Saccharomyces cerevisiae S288C: one gene and its partners. The protein of the gene in region 1 interacts with the protein of each later gene in a biochemical or structural test. Each region holds a gene or a part of one and is shown on either strand. Other genes may lie near its edges. The genes, in order: SUP45, MTQ2, SUP35 and ITT1.

Evidence for each region.
Region 2: of the proteins of SUP45 (region 1) and MTQ2, one has a biochemical effect on the other in vitro, tested with the Saccharomyces cerevisiae proteins (one study listed by BioGRID).
Region 3: the proteins of SUP45 (region 1) and SUP35 form a complex in vitro, tested with the Saccharomyces cerevisiae proteins (6 studies listed by BioGRID, with this or other methods).
Region 4: the proteins of SUP45 (region 1) and ITT1 form a complex in vitro, tested with the Saccharomyces cerevisiae proteins (one study listed by BioGRID).

Annotation. Positions count from the first base shown.
Region 1 is NC_001134.8:529,064-533,951, forward strand, and holds SUP45 (translation termination factor eRF1), read right to left. Parts: upstream 3,120-4,888; coding exon 1,806-3,119; downstream 1-1,805. Other genes in the region: MAK5 (ATP-dependent RNA helicase), read left to right, coding at 1-1,575; YBR144C (uncharacterized protein), read right to left, coding at 4,172-4,486; alcohol dehydrogenase ADH5, read left to right, coding at 4,699-4,888. UniProt on the Saccharomyces cerevisiae protein: Component of the eRF1-eRF3-GTP ternary complex, a ternary complex that mediates translation termination in response to the termination codons. The eRF1-eRF3-GTP complex binds to a stop codon in the ribosomal A-site.
Region 2 is NC_001136.10:732,183-736,164, forward strand, and holds MTQ2 (S-adenosylmethionine-dependent methyltransferase), read left to right. Parts: upstream 1-1,955; coding exon 1,956-2,621; downstream 2,622-3,982. Other genes in the region: HPR1 (Hpr1p), read left to right, coding at 1-654; NEDD8 family protein RUB1, read right to left, coding at 1,436-1,520, 1,594-1,742; DOP1 (Dop1p), read right to left, coding at 2,719-3,982.
Region 3 is NC_001136.10:806,146-811,720, reverse strand, and holds SUP35 (translation termination factor GTPase eRF3), read right to left. Parts: upstream 3,398-5,575; coding exon 1,340-3,397; downstream 1-1,339. Other genes in the region: ARG82 (inositol polyphosphate multikinase), read left to right, coding at 89-1,156; heat shock protein HSP42, read right to left, coding at 3,973-5,100. UniProt on the Saccharomyces cerevisiae protein: GTPase component of the eRF1-eRF3-GTP ternary complex, a ternary complex that mediates translation termination in response to the termination codons UAA, UAG and UGA.
Region 4 is NC_001145.3:135,246-140,202, forward strand, and holds ITT1 (RBR-type E3 ubiquitin transferase), read left to right. Parts: upstream 1-2,304; coding exon 2,305-3,699; downstream 3,700-4,957. Other genes in the region: FACT complex subunit POB3, read left to right, coding at 255-1,913; ERV41 (Erv41p), read right to left, coding at 3,818-4,845, 4,939-4,957. UniProt on the Saccharomyces cerevisiae protein: E3 ubiquitin-protein ligase involved in translation quality control. Involved in the rescue of stalled ribosomes by promoting ubiquitination and degradation of proteins on stalled ribosomes.

The DNA of each region.
Region 1 (4,888 bases):
ACTCCTACAAGAGAACTGGCGCATCAAGTCACAGACCACTTAAAAAAGATCTGTGAGCCTGTTCTAGCGAAATCTCAGTACTCGATATTATCTTTGACAGGTGGACTCTCTATCCAAAAACAACAACGTCTATTAAAGTACGATAATAGTGGCCAAATTGTCATCGCAACACCAGGTAGATTTTTGGAACTGTTGGAAAAAGACAACACTTTAATCAAAAGATTCTCGAAAGTAAATACGCTAATCCTTGATGAGGCTGATAGGCTGTTACAAGACGGTCATTTCGACGAGTTCGAAAAAATCATTAAACATTTATTAGTAGAAAGAAGGAAAAACAGAGAAAACTCCGAGGGCAGTAGCAAAATTTGGCAAACTTTGATCTTTTCTGCAACATTCTCCATCGACTTGTTTGATAAGCTATCTTCTTCCCGTCAAGTTAAGGATAGAAGGTTTAAAAACAACGAAGATGAGCTAAATGCCGTAATACAACACTTAATGAGCAAAATTCACTTCAACTCAAAGCCGGTTATAATAGATACAAATCCTGAGTCAAAAGTGAGCTCTCAAATCAAAGAATCCTTAATTGAATGTCCTCCATTAGAACGTGACCTATACTGCTATTACTTTTTAACCATGTTCCCAGGTACAACTTTGATCTTTTGTAATGCCATTGACTCCGTGAAGAAATTGACCGTATACTTAAATAACCTAGGCATCCCAGCTTTTCAAATTCATTCTTCCATGACACAAAAGAACCGTTTGAAAAGCTTAGAAAGGTTCAAGCAACAAAGCGCTAAACAGAAAACAATAAATCATTCGAATCCGGATTCCGTTCAACTCTCAACAGTATTGATTGCAAGTGATGTTGCTGCTAGAGGTTTAGATATTCCGGGTGTTCAACACGTTATTCATTACCACTTACCAAGATCTACTGATATTTATATTCATAGATCAGGCAGAACTGCAAGAGCAGGTTCTGAAGGTGTCTCTGCCATGATATGCTCACCTCAAGAATCTATGGGCCCATTAAGAAAGTTAAGAAAAACTCTCGCTACAAAAAATAGTGTTTCGACGGATTTGAACTCTAGATCAACTAACAGAAAACCCATCAAGTGGCAAAACACTGTGCCTTTGTTACCAATTGAAACCGATATACTTTCACAACTCAGAGAAAGAAGTAGATTAGCAGGCGAACTGGCTGATCATGAAATTGCTTCTAATTCCCTAAGAAAAGATGACAATTGGTTAAAAAAGGCTGCTGATGAATTAGGTATTGACGTTGATTCCGACGAAGACGATATATCAAAGAGTAATTCGGACACTTTCTTACTAAAAAATAAAAATAAAAAAATGCAGAAGACTATAAATAAGGACAAGGTAAAAGCCATGAGAGCTACGTTGAACGAATTGTTATCAGTGCCTATACGTAAAGATAGAAGACAGAAATATTTGACAGGTGGGCTAGTGAATTTAGCTGATAACTTGGTCAAAAAAAGAGGTCATAATTCTATCATTGGTCATGAAAAGACAAACGCCTTAGAAACTTTGAAGAAAAAGAAAAAGAGAAATAATTAATCTCGAGGCTTTTGAAGAGAAACTCTCCTTTCACTGTATTTTCTACGTAATATACACGGTCCTCTAAACCCACTATGTACTTTCAACAAAGGAATTAGCTCAATATAGAGCAAAAGGTTTACCAAGTATATATTATATTGTACAAAAAATTAAAAGCGAATTTAATTTAAATCTGGCATCTAGTGATTAAATTCTTTTTGATTCGATTTTTTTCTCCCCCTTTTATTTATTTAAATGAAATCATAGTCGGATCCTTCATCTTCGTCATAATATTCATCCTCAGATTCATCAACTAGTTGTTCAAAATTAACTTTGTAACGCAGCATGGCACCAATACCACCAAAACCTGTGACAAATTGGGCACCTTCTGAAGATTTGTCTGTGATGAATTCCAAGGTAGCACCGAAGTTTTTGTAGTTAGCTGCTAGCCATTCAATTAAAGGTTCTTCGGAGACAACGTCCATTTCTTGGCCGGTAGCTTTGTCAATAGCAAACGACTTGTCCTTGGCTTCTGGTTCAGCGAATTTTATAACCTCATTATCCTCGGCATCTTTAAATGTATATCTGATAGTTTCCAAATTTTCGAAAACAATTAATTTTTCGACTGCACCTAAATCCAATGCCTTTAAAGTATCATCTATACCATAACAGAATTTACCAGTGTCCTGGGAAATTTCGTCAAAATATGCCTCCAATAATTTCTTTTCTTGAACATACTTGACATTGGCCAACGCTTCGGCAGAAAGTTCGATAGCCTGGTTGAAACCGTTTTCACCACCATAAGAAACATCCACGATGGAAATAACCTTACATGCTAGTCTTGGATCGAATAATTCAGATTTAGCCAAATCGGTCTTAAAGTCAGCAGAACCAGCTAAAATTAAACCCTTAACATTGACTTTGTCATTAGTAATAAAATTTTGAACAGCAACTTCGGCGACCTTTCTCACATAATTATGTCTTTTTTCTTCTCTTAAACGAGCAAAACGAAGCGCAGATTGACCACCTCTACCATGCTTTTTTGGCAGATCGACAGTAAATTTATGTAAAACAGTTCTCGTATTACCGGACACAGAACCAAACAAAGTACCTTGACCGTCCATGACTATAAAACCGAACTTGTCGTCAGCTTGAAGCAATTCCGAAAGAACTTCTGTATGAAATTTGTTATCACACAAATATAAGGATGTGTTGATAGGTTTGTAAGGTTCGATGTCAAAAGTGACCTTTTTTTCTTTACCATCTTCAGTGATGATATCACCACAATATAAAACTAAACCGTTCTTGGGCAAAGTATTATATAGCTTCAACTTTTGTTGGGTGGAAGTGATAGCAGATAAAACGGAAAGACGATTAACCCTAGATTTAATATTCGAGGCAGTACCATATTCATCTGTTAACATTTTTTGGTACAGTGGAATTTGACCCTTAGGAGGAATAACTAAGGAAATCATAGAAGTACCATTACCTCTAGCTTTTTCTAAAGATTGGACCAACTTCTTGACCTTCCAGATCTCAATATTTTTTTCAACCTCGTTATCCATTATTGAAGTATTTCCTTTGTCTATTTCTGTAGTCTTAATAAGGAGACAAGCCGAAATGAATTAAGAAATAAAGGTGTCGTTAAGGCCACACCAACAGTATATCAGTTAAAAATACAGTGATGTATTTCATTGATTTGACGCTTAGCACTGGATTTCTGAAAAAATTTTTCATTCAGGGTCAACGGAATAATCCGGGTAATAAAGACGGCGCTATCAAACGGTATTACTGAAAAATGTACAAATGATGAGAGAGCAAGTGACTTAAGTATTCTTCGTACATGCGGTAGCGACAGATTGTAGTTTATGATCTGGTTATAATACCATGTATAAATTGGAAGGATCTAAGCTAAAGTAAATTATGAATTGAATACTGCCCTTCAAAAATTAGATTTTGACAGGATGCTTTTTAACAAGTCTGTTATCCTCTTCATGGAATCACAAATTTAACCAGATATTTGCAGCAGCTATTGGGGGAAATGATGTAGCTAAGGTCTACCTCATACTGCTCATATCCAGCTTTTTACTTACTTTTCGTTTCAAGGCTCCCATACTATCTATAATGAGTAGAAATATCAGATGACTATGTCATTTTGAAGTTGGTTAGAATTTGCTTTTTGGTTTCGACAGCATGTGCACATTCATCATTGACCTTCGCTAAAGGTAGCGCCACCAAAAAGGAGCAATGAATTGAAATAAAGTTCTCAGTCCTCTACTTGTCCAGTTCTTGGCACATTGTAGAGTCTTACGTCAAATGTTCTGTTGGCTCACATACGTGCTCTTCGTATTTTCCATGAATAACTTCAGCTATTTATGTAAATGACGCTCATACTCTTTATAAATCTGAAAATAAATAGCACGCATATACAAAGTGGATCAAGAGGCGTTATATCCAAACATTTCAGACAGAAGATTATATAATGTAACAGAAAAAGTTTTAAAAATTTTGGAATAAAGGAAAAGGTGGTTGGGGAAGAGAATAGAGCTACAGCAAGTAAAAAGGTGCTTTCCTCGAAGTTGCGTCGAAGATGAATGAAAGTAGTTGCTAATTCTTACTAGCACATGAAAAAAAAGGATATATATAATTTTACAAGTAGTGTCTTCATGACGGATTCATAGTCTATCCAAGCGTTTGCCCAAAATTTTGCAGTAAATTTAATGTTTTCTGTATAGGATAATGGTGCGCCATTCAAGTCCCGCGAAAAATGACTGATGTCTACAGGACAGGGGCGCAATATATGTTCTCTGACATTGCACCTTTTGAATATATCATGTGTTTGTTCTGCTATCTGCTTGTAGAAGGGTACGCTAACAGAGCCGGCGGCATTGTAAAAAGTTCTCCTTTCGCGGAAGGATGAGTCAAAAAGCATGTGACAATGAAATAATCAAATTGTGACATCTGCTGACGCGGGATCGTTCCTTCGTATTGTCTAGATTGTAATCTATATAACATACTACGAATATAAAAGAGGGACTACAAGATATTTCTAGCGCAAACTACTGCTTTACTGTCTCACAATGTCTCTGATTGGAAGATACCTAAGAAAATTATTTAACTACATATCTACAAAATCAAAGCATCATGCCTTCGCAAGTCATTCCTGAAAAACAAAAGGCTATTGTCTTTTATGAGACAGATGGAAAATTGGAATATAAAGACGTCACAGTTCCGGAACCTAAGCCTAACGAAATTTTAGTCCACGTTAAATATTCTGGTGTTTGTCATAGTGACTTGCACGCGTGGCACGGTGATTGGCCATTTCAATTGAAAT
Region 2 (3,982 bases), on another chromosome or scaffold:
ACTGGTCTAGATAAAATTGAGCAAGAAGTAAAGAAGCCTGAAGGTGTCTATGAAGCAGCCCAAGCGAAATGGGAATCAAAAATTTCTTCTGAAACTTCCGGTGGAGAAGCGAAAGATGAAATAATCAGACAATGGCAAACTTTACGGTTTCTAAGATCGCGATACTTGTTCGATTTTGATAAAGTTAACGAAAAGACTGGTGTTGATGGTTTGTTCGAGGAACCCAGAAAAGTGGAAGCGTTGGATGATAGTTTCAAAGAGAAACTTTTGTACAAAATCAATCAAGAGCACAGGAAAAAACTTCAGGATGCTAGGGAGTACAAGATTGGAAAGGAAAGAAAGAAGAGGGCACTGGAAGAAGAGGCTTCGTTTCCTGAAAGAGAGCAAAAAATTAAGTCGCAACGTATAAACAGCGCTTCTCAAACAGAAGGAGATGAGTTGAAGAGCGAACAGACGCAACCAAAGGGAGAAATATCAGAAGAGAATACCAAAATAAAAAGCTCGGAAGTTTCTTCGCAAGATCCTGACAGTGGTGTTGCCGGGGAGTTTGCTCCACAGAATACAACAGCTCAACTAGAAAATCCAAAAACAGAAGATAACAATGCAGCTACTTCGAACATTTCTAATGGTTCATCTACCCAAGATATGAAATAAATTATCCTCTTAATAGAAATTTTAAACTGATAAGAAATTCATGCATAGTGTCCCAAACAATTCAGATAGATTTTAGCGTACCACAGAGATCCTATCAGAGAGTAATACTTATGATGAAAACAAAAGTCAATCCATTCGGTTTAAAAAAATGACAAACCTATATTTGATTAGATTAATCAGGCGTCAATAACGTCCTTAGAAGTCCCTTTGCTAAGACTGATATCGTTGGCAAAAGCATGCTCCGAGTTTAGTATATACTTCCACTTGATAAAGTTGTAGCGCAAAGGATGCTTTTCTTAATGAGAAATTCGGTATACTACAAGAGGACATCCAATCGTGCTTACAAAATTGCCCTGGAAGACATGATTGAGAAGAAATGGCGAAATATGTCTTTTGGTCAGATAGTCTGTAATCGCATATAACAGTATGCTTGGTTTGCTCTTTATCACCACGCTTTTCCTCTCTTTCCAGCGCGAACCATGCAATGGCCAGCTTTATGAAATTTAAACCATAAAGTCATATGAGACCAGCAATCAGACCATATATAGCCGTACTATGCTATAACGGATAATTTGATAGATACTAAACAGTTTTAGTTCACATTTCTCGTCTAAAAACAATTAATTTATTATAACAGACTCTATAGACTAAATTGTATGTATTTTTTTTTTTGACAAATTGGGGGCGGTAGCCTTCCAAAGTCCAAGTGAACTTATGTTCGTTTTGTCTTCTTTTCTAATGAACACCTTCGATAAAATTCCATAAATGACGGAAAATGGTTCTAGTTACCACCTCTTAGTGTTAATACCAAGTGGAGTTGCATTCCCTCTACTAGATGTGCATCCGTTACTGTTAATTTATCATCACTATCCTGGTCGTTAGTAAGGTCTCAAAAACGTAAATAAACTTAAAAGATAATTAACCACTGAATGAACATACATTTGTTTTCCCTGGAATATAAGTCTTTGTTGAGATGGTGGAATCCCTTCTTTTTCCTCCAAAAGTTCCTTGATGTGATATACGAGATCTGATTCCTTCAGCTCAACAGAGATCTCCTTCCCAGTCAGTGTCTTCACTTTAACAATCATCGGTTACGGCTGTAAGGAAGTTAATTACCTTCCTTTATTTATTCCTCTGTCGGAATACTTCATTTGAATAACAGAATTTTGGTTTTTCAGCTAAAAGTTGTTCGTTTGCCTTCCCGAAGACGCCATCGGAATTTGATTTCATATAAATATTGATATAATTATACTCTGAAATATAATATTGATAAACTTAACACAGGGTGAGAAAGGTGAAGTATGCTACCGACCCCTTATGTAAAATGCGATTACGATAAAGTATATGAGCCTGCTGAGGATAGCTTCCTCATACTGGACTGTTTGGAAAAAGAGCATGATTTTTTGAAACAGAAATTTGGTAATCGTTTGGCCATCGTTTGCGAAATTGGTTCGGGATCAGGTATCGTCACAACATTTCTAATGCAAAACAAAATAATACCGCAGGAAAATTCCATCCACTTAGCTGTTGATATCAACCCATGGGCGCTCGAAGCAACTTTGGATACTGCGAAGTTAAATTCATGTAAAAGTTCTTTTTTAGAAGTGATTCAAGCTGATTTAAACTCCAGTATTCGGAATAATCAGGTTGATGTCCTAATATTTAACCCACCATATGTGCCAGCAGAATGTGTGCCAGATGTCCCAGGATCAAGAGAGGAGGCAGACCAATGGCTAGATTTAGCGTTATTGGGTGGAAAAGACGGGATGGCGATTACTGATAAACTGCTACGACAATTAGAACAAATTCTTTCTCCAGATGGTGTTGCATATATATTATTTTGTGCAAGAAATAAGCCTAAAGAAGTCATTAAGAGGTTTGTCGATACTTACAAATGGAATGTGAAACTTATTGAAACGAGAAAAGCGGGATGGGAAGTCCTCAGTGTGTACAGCTTTACAAGGTGACAGTTGCAAAACCTTTCACGTTATAATTGATAACCTGTGTCTTTACTCAAAGCGTATAACTATATTTCGGTTTATAAAGAAAAATTCATAGCTATGCTCATGACAGAATATCTTTTTTGAGATCTTCACCACAACCATATAAATCAACTGACCCTAGTCCGTAAACTTTCTCATAATGTAGATAACTCAAATTCTGGAAGAAGCTTCTTAGTTGCGTGTGTCTCTCGATTTTGTGAATGCCTCGTAATAATGGGAGACCATCTTTTAAAGTTGTCGGTAATTCAAGATCATCAGTTTTGGTTATTTCGTAATCTTTGAATTCTGCGATTTCATCTACCAGCGCGACGAATGAGTTCGTTTTATATACGCAATTTATTGTATCAATAACAAAGATCCACTCATTCGTAGAGGTGAAGCCTTCCATGTTGAGTAAGAGTAGCAAATCCAAAGTTTTACATACTTGCAATATTGTTTGTGGATCGACTTCTGACTGTATTTGAAGTGATTCATAAAATTCTTGCAAATTAGTTTGTAAACAGTAACTGATCATAGACCAATAGTCATTGAAATGGGACTCTGAAAATCTTAAAAGTAAAACCCTTAGTAAGATCCAGCAGCTTCCCTTGAGCTTGATATCTTTGGACACCAAATAGTGGAAAATGCAACTTATTAAAGAGGAAAAGTGCAACAAATATGCGTCATTTGGCGATACCATCAACAAGTACGATATTTTCAAAAGGTTTTGGCACTTGTACTCGACTTCAGAATCGCTTCCTAAGTTAAACGTGATTAAAGTCGGAGTCACACTTGAACGCTTGGAGCCAATTTCTAATAGTAAATCGTTCAAGATTTTTGACTTATTTTCTGGATAAATGGACCATTCGTAAATAATCTTTTCCCAAGTTTGATCGCTGCCAATTACCGAAAGTTTTTTGTCATTTTGGAACAATTCCGCAATTAAAAGCCTCCAACTTTTAACTTTTGAACCTAAATGGGATACGACCGCGGCCAATTCTAAGACATAACCTGGAATAGTTTTTTCACTTTTGGGTTTGATATAAGGGGTTAGGCATTGATTTACAATTGTCGCTAACGTTGTATTAAACTTGTCTCCTCCAATTTGATCGTTGACGATATATTGAACACGCCATACTACAAATTCTAAATCTTTAAATGAATCAGGGTGGCCACGATATAAGTTCGTAAAGTTTATAAATGCATTAGGTAGGTATTTGAAAAACACATCAGATATCTCCCTCCTAACTCGTTTTTGTTCTCCAAACTGCGTTTTACTTACTTTTCCAGAAATAAGGGCAACAAGTTTTAATATAGACAACGAAACATCAGAATAAAGGTTATAA
Region 3 (5,575 bases), on another chromosome or scaffold:
CTTTTTTACCAGTAATCAGTTAAACAATTTCCATTAGTAGCTTACATGGATATGTGCATACGTGTGCCTAAGTAGAAATTTTTTTCACATGGATACGGTAAACAATTATAGGGTTTTAGAGCATAAAGCTGCTGGCCACGACGGTACTCTAACAGACGGTGATGGATTGCTCATCTTTAAACCGGCCTTTCCGCAGGAACTGGAATTCTACAAAGCCATACAAGTGAGAGATGTGAGTCGAAGAAAGTCTTCGGCTGATGGAGATGCTCCCTTGTGCTCTTGGATGCCCACGTATCTTGGAGTCTTGAATGAAGGGGCAAAAATCGAGCAAAGTGGCGATGCTGCGCTTCTGAAGATAGATGAGCGGTTAAGTGATTCCACTGATAATCTTGATTCAATACCTGTAAAGTCTGAGAAGTCCAAGCAATACCTCGTTTTAGAAAATCTACTATATGGATTTAGTAAACCTAATATACTTGATATAAAATTAGGCAAAACTTTGTATGATTCGAAGGCATCATTGGAAAAAAGAGAGAGAATGAAAAGAGTCAGTGAGACGACGACTTCAGGATCTTTGGGTTTCAGGATATGTGGCATGAAAATACAGAAAAATCCCTCTGTGCTGAATCAGCTTTCGCTCGAATATTACGAAGAAGAAGCAGACAGTGATTATATCTTTATAAACAAATTGTATGGTCGTTCAAGAACCGATCAAAATGTTTCAGATGCAATTGAACTTTATTTTAACAATCCTCATCTGTCGGATGCGAGAAAGCATCAACTGAAGAAAACATTTTTGAAAAGATTGCAGTTGTTTTATAATACTATGCTAGAAGAAGAAGTTAGAATGATATCAAGTAGTCTTTTGTTTATTTACGAAGGAGACCCGGAGCGATGGGAATTACTAAATGATGTTGACAAACTTATGCGAGATGATTTTATAGACGATGATGACGACGATGATGATAATGATGATGATGATGATGATGATGCCGAGGGAAGCAGCGAAGGACCAAAGGACAAAAAAACAACTGGTTCTTTGAGTTCCATGTCACTAATAGATTTTGCACATTCTGAAATAACGCCGGGGAAGGGTTATGATGAAAACGTGATTGAAGGAGTTGAAACCTTGCTAGATATTTTTATGAAATTCTAGATATATTGAGAGGTGAAGTTTACCTTGTTTATGGTATATGGTACAAAAAGAACTAAACTAATTATACGTCTATATATATATATATATATATAACAGCTTTATTAAACCTTGTTTTTTAATATAGAAGAAAATGCTTTATGATCGGTATTATTGTGTTTGCATTTACTTATGTTTGCAAGAAATTTACTCGGCAATTTTAACAATTTTACCAATTGCTATTGTGGTACCTTGATCTCTCAAAGTGAATCTACCTAATTGAGGGTAATCTTGGTAAGTTTCCACACAAACTGGAGCTTCAGTTTCTAAAACAGCGATGACCTTCATACCCTTCTTAGCAAAAGCAGGTGGTTTCTTTGACTTACGGTTGGTACCCTTTTCTAATTTGTGCAATAACTTAACAATATGTACCTCTTCAATTGCTGTATGAACATGCATAACACATGAAAAACCGGCTGCTATGATAGATTTTAATTCTACAATAGCAATTTGAGCTACAAACTTGGTAACACTCTTGATAGGGTTCTTTGGCGATGTTAGTACAAAACCTGGTGAAATGTCTTCTTCTTCAACACCTTTGATTCTTAGTTTAACTTGCTCACCACACATAGCCATATCAACTTCATTTTCAGTTTCGTTGTAAATATTTTGAATTTCCACAGCGGTTTTGTTAGGCATCAGTAGGGTGGATTGACCCTTTTTGATATGACCGGATTCAATTTTACCTTCAACGATGGTACCTAGATCCTTCATCTTAGCGGCAATAGGCAACATGAATGGAGCATTGATGTGACGGTCGACGTGGTTCATTGTATCCAGATATTCTAACAGAGTTGGGCCGGTGTACCATGGGCATTCTTTTGGATCTACGTGATCTTTCAAATTTGCACCACTGTAGCCGGATACTGGCATAAATACAACGTCTGTCTTAATGTTGTAACCAATTGCTCTCAAGAAATTGCTGACATTACTCACACATTGGTCGTAACGTTCCTTAGACCAGTTAACGGTTGGGTCATCCATCTTATTTACGACGACAACCATCTTATTAACACCTTGGGTCTTGGCCAATAGGGCGTGTTCACGAGTTTGACCACCTCTCTCAAAACCGGTTTCGTACTCACCCTTTCTGGCGGAAATGACCAAAACACCAACATCAGCTTGAGAAGCACCACCGATCATCTCGGAAACGTACATTTTATGACCAGGAGCATCCAATATGGTATAACGCCTTTTTTCAGTTTCAAAGTAGGCCTTACCAACTTCGATAGTCTTACCATCATTTCTTTCTTCTTTGTTGGTATCCATGACCCATGACAAGTACCAACCTTGTCTGCCTGCATCCTTGGCTTCTCTTTCATATTTCTCAATAGTTCTCTTATCCACAGAGCCAGTCAAGTATAGTAGATTACCACCCATAGTAGATTTACCGGCATCAACATGACCCATGAAAATTAAAGAAACGTGATCTTTACCACCAAACATATCGTTAACAACTTCGTCATCCACTTCTTCTTCCTGTTCCTTGATCAAGGCATCAGCACTGGTAACATTGGCATTGTTGGTATTATGTGTTGATTCAGAGATTTTAAGGTCTTCTACCTTTGGAAGTTCCGATTTTTCCTCCGTCTTTTCTTCAGTCTGGACTGGTTTCTCCTCCTTTTTAACTGGTTCTTCGACCTTTGTTGGCTCTTTAGTTGGTTCTTTGGTTTCAGCAGACTTCTCTTCCTCTTTCTTATCAGATTCGGCAGGTTTTGTGCCAACCTTCTTGGTAGCATTGGCCAACTTGATACCGGAACTGGAGACAAGCTTCAAAGTCTTCTTTGGTTTGGGAGCGGCCTGCTTTTGTTGCTTTTGAAAGTCGTTCAAAGACATACCTTGAGACTGTGGTTGGAAACCAGCTTGATATCCTTGCAAATTGTTATTGTAGTTGAAGTTTTTGTAATTTCCACGGCCACCTTGTGGATTGAATTGCTGCTGATAACCGCCTTGAGGATTGTACTGTTGATAGCCTCCTTGAGGATTATACTGTTGCTGGTAACCGGCGTCGGGATTGTACTGTTGATAGCCACCTTGTTGGTACCCAGAATAACCTTGGTAATTTTGGTAGTACCCACCTGCAGGTTGGGCTTGAGCATTGTAAGCTTGATAACCTTGGTATCTGTTGTTACCTTGTTGTTGGTTACCGTTCTGGCTGTATTGCTGGTAGTTTTGCTGATTGTTGCCTTGGTTTGAATCCGACATTGTTGCTAGTGGGCAGATATAGATGTTATTCCGAGCAAGTCGATGAAGAAACCGCTTTTTGTTACAGTACAATGGAGTCTTTCAAGAGAAGATGTACCAATATACACTACACTCTTCAGAAGCAATGGGAGCTTTGGTCGAGTGAAAAAAAAATTTTCTCCATAAAGAAAGATCATATTATACGATGATGTAAGATATAATACCCGGTTGTAATGTACATTTAAGAGCAAGGTAAGAAGTGACAATAACTTCTGTATGATCTTAGCATGTACCTCTTTTGGTGGGCTGAGAACTAAGATTCATCTTTTTGCGGAAGAATTTTGCTATGAACTTCACAACTTTATGAAGTGGTTTAAGAGAATTACAAAAGAAATGACACAGACTCGAACACTGTGACGCGTCGTCTTAGTAAAAAATAATAATTTGAGTCAAATAGCGCAGCTAATGCGAAACAAAGAAATGAAGCATATACCATTCGTTGTATGATTTTTGTGTGGTTGACAGATATTCTGCCGAAATTTTAACGCTTATTATAAATATAAATGTATGTATGTGTGTATAAACAGATACGATATTCAATTTTCTACCGTAGGGTTGGGATTTTCTTCAAACTCCAATTCTTCGTCGGGTATTTCCTCAATGGCGATCCTCTTTTTTGGCTTCGGCTTTTCAGTGTCATTGACAATTTTAGGCACCTTAATTTGTAGTAGACCGTTGTTGTAAGTAGCTTTAATTTCTTCGTCCTTAATGCGTGGCAGCACGGGGAATTTAACGGTTCTCTCAAACGCACCATATTTTAGTTCCGTGATCTTCAAGAATTTTTCATCAATGCCCACTCTGTCTTCGATCTTACCCTTGATGAGCATCTCATGAGAAGATGGATGGTAATCAATGTGGAAAGCCCTAGAGTTAGCACCTGGTAACGCAAGAACAACTACGTAAGTGTCCTCGGTATCATAGACATTCACTTCTGGTGAAAATGGTAAGTCCATTCTCGTTTCAGGCTTGGATACTTGTAACGGGTCAGGTATTGGGGAAGGCGCTTGTAGGTGAGCGAACGATGAAGATTTTTTGGCTAATGGTGGTCTCGACGATTCCTCCAGCTGATTCAAAGGTTTTTCTTTGTTGGTTTCGCCAGCTTCCTCTTTGGGTGCTTCAGACTTATCCTTCTTATCCTTTTCTTCTCCCTTTTCGCCCTCCTGTTCGGTATTTGCTTCAATTTCTGGTTCAGTGCCTTCATATGGTGGAACACCTATTAACGCGGTTAATAAGTCGTTTAAACTGTTTGCCTGTTGGTTGGTCCTATTATTCCTGGCAGTATTACAATGGTAATATGATGGATATCTTCTCGAGTTGCTGTCCTCGCCACCATCTTCCTGTCTTGTAGTGCCGCTGTCACCCACCATATCTTCGTCTTGGTCCTCTTCTTCACCATCCTCGTCATCATAACCGTATTCAGGACTATAGTAATAGGCTTGTCCAGGGAACTGGTAGTAATAGGTATTAGGAACACCATTGTATCTGCTATACAATGGATGATGACGAGGATGATGCCCGCCAACGTGCACTTGTCCATAATGGGGATGGTATCTCTGTGGCCTTTGTGGTTGGCGAGGATATCCTTGCTGCCCTCTCTGGCCAGTTTGGTTGGATAATGCGTTCAAAACGTCATAAAGAGATAGGGATGGTTGATAAAAACTCATTGCTTCGGCTTGGTATGATCTTAATTTGTGTGGGATATGGACAATTGCCTGAACGTGTCCCTATGTTATGTATAATTATACTTCTTGACCGTATGTATGAGAATAAAAGATAGTTCCTGCCGGGATCAAAAAAACGATGACAGCAAGTCTTATATAACTAACTTCACAGAGGCCTCCCCCCTGCCGCCAAGGCCGCCCCTGTATTCGCCCCTGAGCAGTTCTCAATTCGCGAACCTTCCAGAACTTTTAAGCGCGTGTTCCAGGCGTTGCCGCCTAGCCACTGTTGGCCTCCGCCAAATTACTCCGGCAACACACCTATATAACTGCTCGAGCGGCTGATAGGGAAAGCTGAATTGAAGTATGTCATATCCTGTTTTAAACAAGTCTCGTTTTATGCTACTCTTCTCGAGAGCCAAGCATTACCATTCCATCTCTTGCTATTTTATTGTTCTTCTTAAAATGTTCACTTTTTCCC
Region 4 (4,957 bases), on another chromosome or scaffold:
TACATATCAAGATACTTATGATATATATATATAGAAAAAGCTTACTTTTCTTGGAGTTATTGTTATTATCATCGCGAAGAACGATTGTATAACCCGGTTCAACGCGAAACGAATCGTTAAACTGGTGAAATGTTAACGCGAGTGTCAGAGATATACATAGTATGAGAGTAGCTAGATGTTGAATCGGTGGTAAGAACAAGAAGGAAATACCGTTAACAAGTGAAGGAACAATCTAGTATTGTTGAACAAGAATTATGAGTACCGACTTTGATAGAATTTACTTGAACCAATCTAAATTTAGCGGTAGATTCCGTATTGCTGATTCTGGGTTAGGGTGGAAAATTAGTACCAGTGGTGGCTCTGCAGCAAATCAGGCAAGAAAACCATTTTTATTACCAGCCACAGAATTATCTACCGTCCAATGGAGTAGGGGCTGCAGGGGTTACGACTTGAAGATAAATACCAAAAATCAAGGTGTTATCCAACTAGATGGATTTTCTCAGGATGACTATAACTTAATCAAGAATGATTTCCATCGCCGTTTTAATATTCAGGTAGAGCAAAGAGAACATTCCTTACGTGGTTGGAACTGGGGTAAGACAGACCTTGCCAGGAATGAAATGGTTTTTGCTTTAAATGGTAAACCAACTTTTGAAATTCCTTATGCTAGAATAAATAATACAAATTTGACCTCTAAAAATGAAGTAGGAATAGAATTTAATATTCAAGATGAAGAGTACCAACCAGCCGGTGACGAATTGGTAGAGATGAGGTTCTATATTCCTGGTGTTATTCAAACAAACGTCGATGAAAACATGACCAAAAAGGAAGAGTCAAGCAACGAGGTCGTACCAAAGAAAGAAGATGGTGCTGAAGGAGAAGATGTACAAATGGCAGTAGAGGAAAAGAGTATGGCAGAAGCATTCTATGAAGAACTAAAGGAAAAGGCAGACATCGGGGAAGTCGCTGGTGATGCAATAGTTTCCTTCCAAGACGTCTTTTTTACCACGCCAAGAGGTCGTTATGATATCGATATTTACAAGAACTCCATTAGACTCAGGGGTAAGACCTATGAATACAAATTGCAACATCGTCAAATACAAAGAATTGTTTCGTTACCAAAGGCAGATGATATCCATCACTTATTGGTTTTGGCAATTGAACCTCCTTTACGTCAAGGACAGACCACCTACCCCTTTCTTGTCTTACAATTTCAGAAAGATGAGGAAACAGAAGTGCAATTGAATCTAGAAGATGAAGATTATGAGGAAAATTATAAGGATAAATTGAAAAAACAATATGATGCTAAAACTCATATAGTTTTAAGTCATGTATTAAAAGGTCTGACTGACCGTAGAGTCATTGTTCCTGGAGAATATAAATCCAAATATGATCAGTGTGCAGTTTCATGTTCTTTCAAAGCAAACGAAGGTTATTTGTATCCATTAGATAACGCTTTCTTCTTTTTAACTAAGCCAACTTTGTACATACCATTCAGTGATGTTAGCATGGTAAACATTTCAAGAGCAGGACAAACTTCTACGTCATCGAGGACGTTTGATTTGGAAGTGGTACTGCGTTCAAATAGAGGTTCTACCACTTTTGCCAACATCAGTAAGGAAGAGCAGCAATTATTGGAACAATTCCTAAAGTCTAAAAACCTAAGGGTGAAGAATGAAGATAGAGAGGTACAAGAAAGGTTACAAACCGCTTTAGGTTCAGACAGTGACGAAGAGGATATTAATATGGGTTCCGCTGGTGAAGATGATGAATCAGTAGATGAGGATTTTCAGGTCAGCTCTGATAATGACGCAGACGAAGTTGCAGAAGAGTTTGATTCAGATGCGGCTTTAAGTGATGCTGAGGGGGGTAGCGACGAAGAAAGGCCTTCGAAGAAGCCTAAGGTAGAATAGTAATAATTTTAGACTGTATAAGTTAAATTTATTGATATTGTGTAAAAACTAACTAATATATTTTGCCAATTGATATTATCATGACATGGTGAGTGTAAGACACCACCTCTTAATTACTGGTGTTATTCTATACATTTATTTGAAATTGGTTTTGTTTTGCAAAATATTTATGTTTTGTTAATCTCCTCTACCCTTTCAATGCTTGAAAAATACTTTCAACTTTTCGATTGGGTGATGAAAAAAAGACAAATAGTGTAAAGGGTTCAAAAATAAATAACAAGCAAGAGAAAGGGACTTTGCTTTTCTCATTTAGTCACCAGTAAGTTATGTCATGGTGTAGAATAACGAATTACAGAAAACTAATATAACTGATGAAAGACCAGGGAGTAAAATGGCTTTGACTCAGTTTGAAAATGATTTGGAAATATTAAGAGATATGTACCCAGAACTGGAAATGAAATCGGTAAAAGTAGAGGAGGAAGGTGAATTCCCTCAAAGAATTAACGGAAAGTTACTGTTCAAGATATCACTATTGGCCGATGTAAATATTGAGTTCGGCGAGCAACATATGTTACTTTCAAACTTATCTAATGAATGCGTGGAGTTCACCATATATAGCTGTCATTATCCGGACATTCGACGGTGTGTTGTTATGGATATCAAATCCTTATGGATATCAACAGATGAAAAGAAGATGTTAATTGACAAAGCGCTGAGACTCGTTGAAGAAACTGTAGATATGAGTATTGAGTTCGCGGATTCGTTTACCTCCATCCTTATCCTCATCTTTGGGTTTCTTATAGATGATACAGCTATATTACTATTCCCTAATGGAATAAGAAAGTGCCTGACACAGGATCAGTATGACTTGTTTAAGCAGATAAGTGAGGAAGCCACCCTCCAAAAAGTGAGCAGATCTAACTACCATTGTTGTATTTGTATGGAAATGGAAAAGGGTGTTAGAATGATCAAATTGCCATGTGAAAATGCGAATGTAGAACACTATCTTTGCAGAGGATGCGCCAAATCTTATTTCACTGCAATGATTCAGGAAAACCGAATATCCAGTGTAAGATGTCCACAATGCGAATACAAAGAATTAAAACTAGAAGATTTCAAGAGCTATAAAAAAATGCTGAAGGCATTGTTTACACCTTTGATTCCAGTGTCCTTCTTAAAAGAGGTTATCGATACAGAGCTATGTGAAAGATACGAAAAAATGTTCTACAACCAGGCGGCTACAAGACTCTCAAAATATTGTCCGTATGCTTGTGTGACTTGTCGAAGATGTGATAGTTGGTGCACAAAAGAAGACCTCGATGATGCGATGATTCAGTGTCAAAAATGTCATTTTGTATTTTGCTTTGACTGCTTGCATGCCTGGCATGGTTACAACAATAAATGTGGCAAGAAAGTTTCGTTATCGACCGATATTATTGAGGAATATCTAGATGATACCGTTACTTCATATGAGAGAAAGCGGAAACTGGAGGCAAAATATGGGAGAAGAGTATTAGAACTTGAAGTCAATGATTACCTTGCTGAAAAAATGTTAGATTTAGCGATTAAAAAAGAGGGTTCGAATTTGCAGCGATGTCCAAAGTGTAAGGTAGTTGTAGAAAGAAGTGAAGGTTGCAATAAAATGAAATGCGAAGTATGCGGGACGCTGTTCTGTTTTATATGCGGAGTATTACTTTATCCTGAGGACCCTTATGAACATTTTAGAGAAGCATATTCAGGCTGTTATGGACGATTGTTTGAAGGTATGCCTGGCACAGAAACTTGAGTGCGATCGCTCTGCCTTCAGTCTCACACTTTTTCTTATAATCTATTGTCATGAAATTTATACAGATGAAAATGAAACGTTATCTTGGGTATACTGCATTCTCTTTTCTTTTACATATCTACCTATCTAAAATACCCTTAGTTTTATCATCTGGCTGATAACGCAAGGACCACTTAGGTCCCATGATGGTGATAAGAGCCATATCCAGTAGTGTGAAAATCCACGAAGCACAGTAGACCAAAAATGAGCAGATTGCCACTAATCTGACCAAAAACTGTATAAAGCTTAAACGAACATCAGAAACTACTATGGATAATGGTTCGAAATTGTATTTGAAGAAGATGCCCGGCATTTTATCACCTTTAGCAGCGACATCTTTGTACAAATAGCGGTAATCGTTAACAGAATATTGATTAGTATCCACTTCTGCCCCCAATTTCTTGAAAAGAGTGGGCACAACAGATGTGTAATAGACGTAAGTAGTTAAAGGTTCATCCTGATTAAACTGTGCAGTGTTATCCAATGGGTTATCAATATATGGATAGAAATCACCAAAAGAGAACTCATTAATAACATGATTAAATTTTAATTCTTCCAGTGGTGCTTTGCGTGAAGCCACGTAACCTAAACTCTTCGCTGTAATCTGCAATTCGCCACTAACTCTATTTACCGGAATGGACCCAAATACATGGCACCCATTGAATTCCGGAAGATGTGCCTTGTTAGGATCACTTTCATCAAAAAATGACCTAGTATCTAGTTTTTCTCTAAATTCTGCTGGGATAGCTTCCCCTAAGATTTCATCCAATTCCGGCGTAATAATTTCATTGATATCATTGACTTTTGTGTCATAAGGAATAAAGAATGGCATCTCTTCCAATTGCAATTCCTCTAATACAAGTTTCCGATCCATTGTTTGGTCTCTGACGTTGATTTGCAACCAATCACATTTCGTGTTGACGTATATATCCATATTAATTTGAACGGTATCTCTAACTTGACTGTCCACTACGTACTGCTGGTCAATATAACCACCGAAGTATTCACCAAACTCGGTCCATGCTATAAACAACAGAAACAGATATGTCAACAAAGATGTTAAGCCACCCTTGGTGGATTTCTTCTTGTACTGTTCTTCAGTTTTTGCTGTAAAGTTAAATTTCCATTGTTAGTGAAAAAGCAAAAGCAAAAATAAAATATGCTGAAGCGGGCTACTTCAGAAAAATCCATATAACATACGAAACGCATCAAATGTCTT